3 linked regions of the Nothobranchius furzeri genome follow. The protein of the gene in region 3 interacts with the protein of the main gene of each other region in a pairwise test. Links are inferred from orthologs where the notes say so. Each region holds a gene or a part of one and is shown on either strand. Other genes may lie near its edges.

The links.
Region 1: the proteins of ngly1 (region 3) and trafd1 interact in binary tests that used the Homo sapiens proteins (3 or more experiments, as listed by UniProt). The two-hybrid records come from large-scale screens. The link is inferred for Nothobranchius furzeri from reciprocal best matches to the Homo sapiens genes NGLY1 and TRAFD1.
Region 2: the proteins of ngly1 (region 3) and rad23b interact in binary tests that used the Homo sapiens proteins (3 or more experiments, as listed by UniProt). The two-hybrid records come from large-scale screens. The link is inferred for Nothobranchius furzeri from reciprocal best matches to the Homo sapiens genes NGLY1 and RAD23B.

Annotation. Positions count from the first base shown.
Region 1 is NC_091757.1:46,521,861-46,525,989, forward strand, and holds the start of trafd1 (TRAF-type zinc finger domain-containing protein 1), read right to left. Parts: upstream 2,836-4,129; 5' UTR 2,827-2,835; coding exon 2,686-2,826; intron 2,184-2,685; coding exon 2,128-2,183; intron 2,038-2,127; coding exon 1,902-2,037; intron 1,039-1,901; coding exon 985-1,038; intron 831-984; coding exon 395-830; intron 314-394; coding exon 23-313; intron 1-22. UniProt on the Homo sapiens protein: Negative feedback regulator that controls excessive innate immune responses. Regulates both Toll-like receptor 4 (TLR4) and DDX58/RIG1-like helicases (RLH) pathways.
Region 2 is NC_091746.1:57,624,943-57,628,596, forward strand, and holds part of rad23b (UV excision repair protein RAD23 homolog B), read left to right. Parts: intron 1-869; coding exon 870-997; intron 998-1,243; coding exon 1,244-1,400; intron 1,401-1,512; coding exon 1,513-1,640; intron 1,641-3,654. UniProt on the Homo sapiens protein: Multiubiquitin chain receptor involved in modulation of proteasomal degradation. Binds to polyubiquitin chains.
Region 3 is NC_091751.1:24,890,822-24,893,792, reverse strand, and holds part of ngly1 (peptide-N(4)-(N-acetyl-beta-glucosaminyl)asparagine amidase), read right to left. Parts: intron 2,479-2,971; coding exon 2,316-2,478; intron 2,213-2,315; coding exon 1,993-2,212; intron 1,889-1,992; coding exon 1,767-1,888; intron 1,550-1,766; coding exon 1,404-1,549; intron 1,244-1,403; coding exon 1,133-1,243; intron 1,048-1,132; coding exon 868-1,047; intron 1-867. UniProt on the Homo sapiens protein: Specifically deglycosylates the denatured form of N-linked glycoproteins in the cytoplasm and assists their proteasome-mediated degradation. Cleaves the beta-aspartyl-glucosamine (GlcNAc) of the glycan and the amide side chain of Asn, converting Asn to Asp.

The sequences.
Region 1 (4,129 bases), on a different chromosome or scaffold from region 3:
GCTGTGATCTACACTATTTTACCTGTCTGACTGCTGGCCTGGACAGCACTCGTGTTTGTCCCTCCACTGAAGACTGGATGGTTGTAGTTGGACTCAGAAAGTGAAGATTTTACAGATGTGTTGGACTTCTCGATCTTTTGGTCCCAGGGATCACGCCACACGTTCCCCTCAGCGCCTCCAGCCACTGAGTCTCCATCACACTGCAGGCTGAGAGCCAACATGTAGTCGAGACCTGATGAATCCTCGTCCTCTGTGCATGCGTTTGGTAGCCATGCTCTGCTGCTTCCACTCAGAAAATCACTCTGCTCCAAGACTAAAAAATATAATCACACAAACATTTCAGAAAATACAAGTTTACATGCCGACTGATACTCTTGAATTAAAACACACTCACAGCGGCTAAATGATGTTTTCTGAGAAGCATTCTTCCCGTCTCCAGAGGGCAGAAATCCTCTTGAAGGGTTGAAACCTGGGGGTTCAAATGGTTGAGGAAAGCATTGCTGTTCTGCTGCACTGATGTTATTATTTTTAAAACCTCTGTCTTGGGTTCTCAGGAGATTTCGGATGGAGTGTGTTTCAAGCCACGCATCTGAAGGTGGTTGCTCTGCTTGACTGCAACTCGTCTTGCTGTTGTTTCTCTCTTGGGGCGGTGTGAGGCTTCCACATATGACTGAGTGCACGGTTTGTTCTCGTAGCATCACGTTGCAATTGCATTGTGGGCAAGGCTCGGTGCGCGCTCCACAATAATCCTCGTGCTCTTTGGACTGACCGAAAACAAGCTCCAGTTCGCAGTACTGGCATGGGACGAGCCGCTGAAGACACTCAGAGCTCTGCAAAACAGACAGACAATAGAAATATGAAGGTTAAATAGAAGAAGCCAGTGTTTTACAGCTTCTTCCTGCAGTTAAATAACATTTTCCACAGTTTCCACAACCCTTTGGCTGAGTAGCAATATGGTATGTAGGACATTAATCTTCACTGTACCTGATGTACATCTAGAAAATTCTTCTCAATCTTCAATCCACACTTGCACATAATCTGAAGCAAAAGATTAAAAAAATGTTTGAAGTAACAAACTAGAGGTTGACCAATATTGTTTGTTCTATAACCAATGCCGATATGTAGGACACGGTCAGCCGATGGCCAATATGTACTGCCGATTTTCATGGCTGATATCCAGAAGATATCCACCTTATTTTCATACTAAAATGTTCCTAACAACATCAGTTGATGCACAAACCTTCTGAAGCTGAACCGGTTTATGAACTCTGAATTTAACTAAGTGCTCAATCTTAACTTTGTGCACTGCTCAGTGTTAAAAATAAAGTTAACTTAGAGCATTTATTATGCAGATGTTTTTAGTGAACGTAAAAACACATTTAAATTAAATTTTGCAACACCACGAGCTGCCCGAGGATGCGCCTAACTTTGAATCGGCTCTACTTAGGACAAATATCGGCCGATGCCAATACATTAAAAAAAACTGTAAATATTGGCCCGATATATCGGTCTTACCCCCTAGTAATAATCATACAGTTTCAGTATGATGTTGCTTTCTAATTAGTGGTTTTCATTGGAAATTAAGCTACTGTTGGCTTGATGGGTAATTCACGCAGAAAATTACTTGGGAAGTAAAAAAAATCTCAGATAAAATTCCCCATACTGTAAATGTATACAAGGCTACCCTATCAGGACTATTAGTGACTCTCAGAAAAAGACACAAAGAAAACATTTTTGTTAAATCCTTGTTTTTTTTTAAGGTTAAGACCTTCAGTAATAAATACAAACATGTCACATGTCGATGTATATTGTGATATTAATGTAAATTGGTTACATCATTAACATTATGATATTATTATATTCTATAACGTGAAGGTTTTAGATGTTTTGTTCAGATGTACCCGAGTGTGCTCTTGAATCTTGTGCTCCAGAAGATCTGAGTGAGGCACCGGCTCCTGGCACACGTCACAGAGGGCGATGTTTCTTCGACAGTGAATCTCATGGGTGGTAAAATTTGCCTCAGGAATGTCTCTCTTACTAAACAAAACAACAACAGATTTGATTTAAAACAAACATACATATAGGCTATGAAATACATTAATGATCATAAGATATAGTCATACTTACCAATTACCACAAAAGAGTGTGTTTTCATCTGCCATGACTGTCCTAAAGGCTGTAAACTAAAAAGCAGAATTATTAATCACACAAACCAGCTTTTCAGGGTAAACTGGTTTTAAAGAAGCTACGTTTAGTATTAGATAGTAATTAAACATTATTTGATGCTGCATCAGATGTGAAACGTTGAATCAGTTAATTCAGCTGTTTGTATTTAGTGTCAGAGCGCTAATGAGCTGCTTGTTTTAATTCATGGGAAAAATGCTCCGTGAGTGTACAATGCAGATGTCTGACTCAGCAAATGAAACTGCGCTTTCGCTTTACTCGATCATTATTTAAAAGGAATGTAACTAATGCTAGCAGATAGAAAACGGTCCATAATAAAGCGGTGATTCTTTGTTAGATGATCAACAAACACTTTAACGACTTCAGAGTTATAATAGCTTCATTGTCTTTAGCTAAAATCCAACAGTTAACAAAGCAGCAACAAAGCCGCTAAGCTAGCGAAACTGAAGGATTCGAGACTTCTTCCCACAAGAACACAAAATACGGTCATTTTGAGGTTACCAGTGGCCAAGTAGTAAATTTTAACAAACGACAGAAGACTTCCTGACGAGAACTCGAGTGGAAAAACTGTTCGTTCCTCGGTCTTTCCGCTAGAGAAAATCTAAACCCAGTGTATTGTCTTTCAGGGTGCAGCATTGGCATCAGAACAGTCAAACCAAACTTTATAACAACAATGTAAAATAATGTTAATGGGTTAAAAGACAATTGATTTGAATGTGAAGTTGTATCTAAAAATTACTCAGCCATGATTTTTAAAGAGTTTAAGATAAAATTTTCCTGTAAACCCTAACTCAGGGAAAAACAATTTGTCCACGCTCCAATTTGATTGGTTGGGTAAAAGCAGTGCGCCATGAAATGTTTCGGGTGATACCGATGCTCCCCAAATATTCGTTCCTCTAAAAATTTGTCATGATTATTCGAGAATGCTTTAAAATATACTTTACAGCTTAAAAATGCTGTAGTAATCTATACACAGTGTATATGATACTTTAATTTTTTAGGAACAAATAGCAAATTACTGCTGCCACTTCCCATTTTAAAGAACAATGTGTCAGCTTCATAGTCCTAGAAATCCAGAAAAAATATTTTTCTGAGATTTCCAAGTTACATTCTCCCCATCACAGAGTCTTATTTGAAACCATACTGCTTTTGGTGATCTTTTTTAGTAAAGCTTGTAAAAACTTTCTCAAGATTAAATGAGCCTGTGACTGAACCACCATCAGCTGAAGGTCTCCAGATGATGTAGTTTATGGGGGGCCACTTGTAAATTCATAATTTAACAGCAGTATTTATGGTTACATAGCCTATCATAAGGAAAAAATGGGAGTAAAATTTCAAAATTAAATTTTCAACATTTTATTCATGCATTTATAAATGTTAAAAGTTTCTAACAAAACATTTAGTTAGCAAGCAAAATATTTAGTTTTACAAACTAAATACTTAGGCCAGATCTAAATATTTAGTTTGTAAAATCATTATTTAATTTACTAACTAAATATTCAATTTGGAACTAAATGTTTAGTTTACAAACTAATTTTTTAGCTTCTAATTAAATATTTATCTTCCAAAATTAATATTTAGATCCCAGTTAAATATTGTTTTGGAGCTAAACCTAATATTGATTTTGCACAAATGTTATGATGTAAATATTTTTGGGGCAAATTAATATTTACACAAACACAAATGTTGGCGATTCTATGAGTTTTGCACTACTAGCTCTTAAAGCAGCTTTTGACACAATGGACTGAAATGATCAATGTCTGGAGTAGTGGAGCGGTTTAGATGGTTTATTTTTTGCTTTAGCCTTGTTGATCTTGTGTCATCCTCTGTTCCTTTCCTGTGGGGTACCACAAGGTTCAGTTTTAGGAGACCATTCCTTTCTCTCTATATCCTTACACCGCAGCAGGTCCCTGAGGTCCAGTGATCAAAGCCTACTGGTTGTGCA
Region 2 (3,654 bases), on a different chromosome or scaffold from region 3:
GAACAAACATTCCCCATCACGCGCTCTGCGCTCCTCTGACCAAGGCCTGCTCGCTGTCCCTCGGTCTAGGTGTCGTACCCGTGGGGACCGGGCTTTCTCAGTCCTAGCACCGTCACTCTGGAACCAGTTGCCACCCTCAGTTAGGCTGTCCCCTTCTCTGCCAGTCTTTAAGAATCACCTAAAAACACACCTCCTCCCCTTGGCGTTTCCAGAACATGTTTGATTTTGGCCCTCTTTTATGTTGAATCCATTCCACAGTTTTCATTGGGACACTCAATCCATCCACTCAATCCAATTGTGTTTCACACATTTGTATTTTACCGGAATGTTTCATCTATCTTGTAATTTCCATTTTGTATTTTGTAATTTGTATTTTGTAATTTGAATTTCTTTTATTGTTGATTTATTCAGTATAATTACTTACAACTGTACCATGTTCAGCGCTTTGGGCTTCCTGACAGGGTTGCGGAAGGCGCTTTATAAATAAAGCTTTGATTGATTGATTGATTGAGTAATTCACTCTTTTAATCAATTAACCGATTTATTATATACTATACTTTACTAATGGGGTGCCATAGTAGAGAACATGTTAAGAATGTAATTCCTACATTCACAGAGTGTTAGTTTAATTTTTCACTTTTAAAGTGAGTAGTTACCAGAAATGTGTCTTTTAACGAGCTCCAACAGAAAAAGCTAATAGTGACAAGGTTTGGAAAGAAAAGGTACTAAGTGTGTGTGTGTGTGTGTGTGTGTGTGTGTGTGTGTGTGTGTGTGTGTGTGTGTGTGTGTGTGTGTGTGTTTGCTTGCTTGCTTGCTTGCTTGCTTGCGTGTGCGTGCGTGTGCGTGCGTGTGTTTCATGGCCTCTGCAGTGACAGGCTCATCGTATGACACCATGGTGAACGAGATGATGCTAATGGGCTATGAGAGAGAGCAGGTGGTGGCAGCAATGAGAGCGAGCTTTAACAACCCAGACAGAGCCATGGAGTACCTGCTCTCGGTAAGAACAGCTCCGATAAAGTCTCCTTAAAAGGTCACACAGCTGTGTGACCTTTGGGAAAGATGGAGCTAATTGTTCCTTCTCATAATCACAGACACCTTCACCTAAACGCACCTTGTTAAACACTTTGACTTAATCTTGGTATGCATACTTTATGGTAGATTTAAAGCGGCAACAACATCTTCGAGCTACTTGTTTATTCTGCGTGACATTTAAAACCAGCATGAGTCGTGACTCCTCCCACAGGGTGTTCCGGGCAGAGATCAGGGCCCTGCAACAGGACCCGACGCTGCTGCTGGTTCACCTCCAGCAAGTGGAGCTCCAGCCAGCAGAGCTCCAGCTGCACCTGCTGGCAGCATTAGTGGCCCTGCCAGCACTGGCTCTTCACCAAGTGCTGCAGGAGGTAAACAGGCTTTCTGTTGCCTAAAACACACAGTAGCCTTCATTAATAAACGTTTATCTGCATAATAATCTCTCTTTCACTCGCCGCTTGACACTTTGACTCACACTAACAGGTAACCCCTTGAGCTTCCTCAGAAATCAGCCTCAGTTCCACGTCATGCGACAACTGATTCAGCAGAACGCCGCCTTGCTTCCAGCTCTGCTGCAGGAGATCGGCAGGGAAAACCCAGAGCTGCTGCAGGTAAAGGACCGACAGATTTCGTCCTGCCTGAACGATATAAAATCATTTAAATACACTTGGAGTTTATTTACTAAATCACTTTTACCACCTGTTACCTGTCTGACGCTCTTTTTTTTTATTTTTATTTTTAGAAAACAGATATTTTCCTTCTTTTAAAGGGAATACTTCTGAAAACGTAGCTTCAGCCGAGGTTCAGAGTTGATCCAGCTGAAACTAAACAGTCTCTAAATCGTCTGAGCTGCGATGCTGAAATCACACACCTGCTGACACTTCCTGTCCCACGATGAAAGCAGATGTTTAAAATCTGTGTTTGCAAATACACACAGAGCACATATTTGCCATGGAGCACACAAAACCACACCGTGTGGTTTAAGATGTCATATCCCCGAAGACTAGTGCAACACTGGCCACATATTCATGATTCGCCTTATTGCTTTACAGTATAAACGTGTGCTGTGTCATTGTTGTAGGACGAATGCAACGAGTGCTCAGATAGATCCTGAGATGATAGAACCTGCAAAATACGGGTGTGATGAAGAAAATGTGCAATTAAAGGCCGGAGATTTAACCACGCTTACAAAGGCTGATCAACTCTCTCTCTCTCTCTCTCTCTCTCTCTCTCTCTCTCTCTCTCTCACTCACTCACTCACTCACTCACTCACTCACTCACACACACACACACACACACACACACACACACACACACACACACACACACACACACACAGAGTTGTAGATCAGGGGCAACACGGTTGCCCAGGGACACTAGATTTAAACTGACAGCCTCTGCTGATGCTAGCCTTCTCTTCCACCTGAGCCGCAGCCTCATCCCTTTCAGAGACCGTTGGAGAGCAGCAACGACACAAACACATGAATTAAAATTAGTTGAGCTCCTGAGCAGCTGAACTGAAATGTTTTGCTGTTGCTCATCCGTTGCGAGCTCGTTGGTCCAGGTTTGATCAGACCTTTAGAGCAACTGGACACGTTGTTGCCGGGTGGACTCCAGAGTTCCAAGAGCAGCACAAAGTTATCAGTACGCAACTTAAAAAAACAATGCAACAATGGCAGACGTGGTCATCGTGTTGAGCATTCTGATTAGCCTGTGTCTTTTTGTCAGACCTTGGGCCTCATTTATCAAACGTTCGTAGAAATGTTCCTGTATTCAATCCTACGAATGGAATTTAGAATGTTGGTACGAACAGCCCAAATCTGGTTTATGAAACATGTAGTGGCCTCTCGTACGCATGTTCCTCCGCAGTCAGCTGTTGATTAATCCCACTTGTGCGTACTCAGGTGCTCGTGCCTGTTGACAGCCATTTGCATCGAGAAACGCCCTCAATGAACCATATTTGGTCACGCTACGTCCTCAGCACATGAGGGGATTCCTTGGTTTTTTTTCCCAGAAAAGATCGAGATCGAAACGCTGGCTGCCGAAGCACAAAAGAACCAAACAAGTTACAGAGGTTACGCGGTCGGGACAGAGGAGAGGTTCCTGTCAGAAATAAATTTACAAAATGGATTTAATCAGTCGTAGAGTAACAGGTTCTCGTTTACATTTAAGGGGTCGTTCTGTTTGGATTTAGTTTTATTTGGAAATGTTGTCTGAGAGCGCAGCCTCTGAGCTGTCATTCAGTCTGGTTACCTTGGCAACGTGGCGTGTTTGATCGGGGAGCAGAGGAGGTTCTGGGGGATTCTCATAGTTGTAAAATAAAATATGAACTGTGATCGGCTTTGTGAGGTTTGTCTGTAGCGCCACAGAGGGTCCCAAATCCGAGCATTTGAGATCAGAGCACTCACGGAGAACACGTTCCCTCCAGGGAGCACGCTCTGTTAAATCCTCCAGTGACACAGATCAGCCATGATGATGTCAGATTCCCGTTGGTCACAGGTGTCTTTTATTGATTTTAGTACCAATTATGCAAAAAAGCTGTTTTTCCACTGACAAAATTACATCCTGGATAAATGAAATTTGTGGATGAGAACCATCTGGATGACTGAGACATTCGGTGTTGTG
Region 3 (2,971 bases):
AACCGTATATAGTTATCATGCTGGTTTTGCTTGTAGGTAACAAGGACGTGACCGAGCTATAAATCACCGTCATTCGTGTGTGTGAAAGTGAAAGTGAAATGATAGTGCGCCCGCCCCCGGCGCGCGTGCGCCCGGTACATGTAATTTTTTATGCTTGATTTAAAACAACTAAACAACATGGGGACTTGTTTCTTATTTGTTAGATGCTGCAGCCAAATTTACATTTAAAAGTTTAACCTTCTCAATTTTGTTGTTTTTAAGTTCAGTCGGACTTTCTGCGATCTGTGTTGTTACTGCCCTTTGATCTGCATTCAGTAAAGTGTTATAAAAGAAGGCACGGCAATTTTTAACCTTTTTAAATGTGTAAACATTATGTTTAGATAGTACTGCAATAAAAAAGTGCTGCAATAATATCGCACACCGCAATATTAAGCCACCCTGAATCACCGCAGGGGGAATTCCTCAACCGCGACAGCCCTAGTAGATAAAACACCAGTGGTGGGCAAACTCAACACAGACCTGCTTCTGTGGTCTGTTTTACAAGTTTTAAGTTGTTCGAATGAAAAGTCTCTGCTGTGTGTGAAGGATTGATGAAAGCAGCCATGCACCGAGAAGACTGGGCTGAAAAGATAAATCCAGTCTTGTGAATTGCCTTCATGCAGGTTAGAAGTGTGCACAGTGATAGCTTGTGTCTGTGTGGTGCTGTGATAGAAATGGCTGGCAAAACATTTCTATGGAAAAAACATCACTTAACCCAATTAATTCAGAATTGTCCAAGTCTGCATCTCCACAAGAAAACGGATATTTGACCTTCCACTCAACATGGATGCAACCCGGTGAACGGTATACGTCTACTGAAATGTGTACCTGCGTCTCCCGCTCAGGTGTTTTGGTTTCCCCACGCGCTAGCCGCCAGGCCAAAGAACCAGAGTTACGCCCCCCCAGTTCTCCGGGTTTGGGTTTCTTCGGGGAAATGAACTCCACCAGCTCCACAAGCAACCTCTCTGTCAGCTTCTTCTTCTGGTCTGCTGTCAGGGACTGCTGTCGCTTCAATATCAGAACAGAACAGTCTTGCGTCAACGCCAAAGTGGCCTTTATACCATCACTTGGGTTAAAACGGGTTCAAACTTACTCCGACATTAAGCCCATTAATGGTGTGCAGCAGCCAAGCCTCCTGAACGCTAGTTCTTCTTGACAAAACCTCAGCGTGTTTGCAGGAATACCTCCATGTGACATCAACCACCTGCAGCACAGACACATTCACGTCGTAATCTCATCCGCATGACTATAAGAAATGACTGAACTGGTGTAAACTGCCTTGCTGTCACATTCTACATCACTAAGAGAAAAGCCTACTAATAGACACTACATAGAAGCAGCAGCGATGCTGACGTCTCACTGACCTGATCCTTGGAGAAAGCCAGAACATAGGCCAGTTTCTTCCCCCAGCCGACCTCGTACAGCAGTGGTTTATCACAGGCATTCTCACACGAGTCACAGTGCAGCCAGCGGCGCTGAGACACGGAGTAAACCTCCGTCCACACGTGGTCTGAAAACACAAAGAACGAGTCCGTCTGCCTCCATATGCACCATACGTGTGGTAAACAGCAGTTTAATAACACGACTGCATTTTTCTGACAAATCAAAGGTGTGTCAGACCAGGCCTGTGTGCCAAAGCAGCGTTCACACAGGAAACCCCTGCTGTGATGAGTACACGACACTGACGAGACACCCCCCGCAGGGTTGTCTCGGGTCATGTGACCTACCGGTGCTGTCCCAAACAAATCTGGCCTCAAGCCCAAGGGCTCTGCAGCACAGGGTGAAACAGTTGGCCCACTCCCCACAGCGCCCCCTCCTGGTTTCCAAAAGCTTCTCTGGGTTGTTATACCTGATAATAGTGAAAGCACAAACTCAAATTAAGCAACTCTCAAATGACACCAAATAAAATAAATCAGTCATAGCTGTAAAAGTTAGCACAGACATCACACACACCTGGGGAATCTGGTGGAGAGCAGGCAGTTCTGACAGTAGTGGTTCTCTACTCGCTGCGCTCCCCAGCAAAGGTCCTCAGCACTAGGGCTGAGGGGGCTGGCGTGCTGGGTGGGACCTTCACACTGGCTGCAGGGTAACTGATCCACCCAGGAGAAGAAATCATGCTTGAACCACCTGAGCAACTCCAGCACCAGGAAGTCTTCTATCCCAAGTTTACAGTCTGCAAACACGACAGCAGAGCCAGTCAGGTTCAAGTCTCATAACTGAAGGTGAACTCGAGTATGTTTTATGGCAGGTGAACAGACTGAGTGAGGCCACTTCACCTGAGTCGGCATCTTTCAGCTCCTTCAGCTTGTGTTGAGCAGCAGAACGCAGCTGCTGGTGAGGAATAACGCTTAGAGCTTTCTGCTGCAGCTCAGGCCTTTCATACCGCATCACGTGCTGGAAGTTCGACTGAAGAGTTGCAAAGAAACTCACACTGCTCCCCTGCATCACAGACAATAAAAAAGGCAAGTTCTCAAAGGTCCTTCCTAAAGAGGCTGATGTGTCCTAGAGGTGGTGATGTTCTCCACCTCCAGCTACATTCACTGACCCCACAGATGCACAGAGAAAACTTGGCTCTTTCCTAACAACATTCTCATCAGTAGATCATATTTCACCAAAAGCAGCATTAAAGCAACCCTAAAGAGCTTTTATCACTTGAAGCTATTGCTTTCAAAATGGTTTCAGTGGTTCTTGAGCCATAAACTTGACCAACTTCACATCGGACAGCACTATAAACCCTCTGCTGAGTAGAAACTGCACTTAAAGGGATACCAAGAAGTTTTGGCTTGCTTTTAGAATACCCTGCTGTTCGTTAGTAAAAGTGAAACTGATCTCCTCGTTGTGCGTTTGTCTTTTTAACACCCAACTGTGGAAATGTCTCCTTAGCCTTCATTAGTTTCTACAGGTGTAACTGTTAGCAGAGCTCAACATTCCC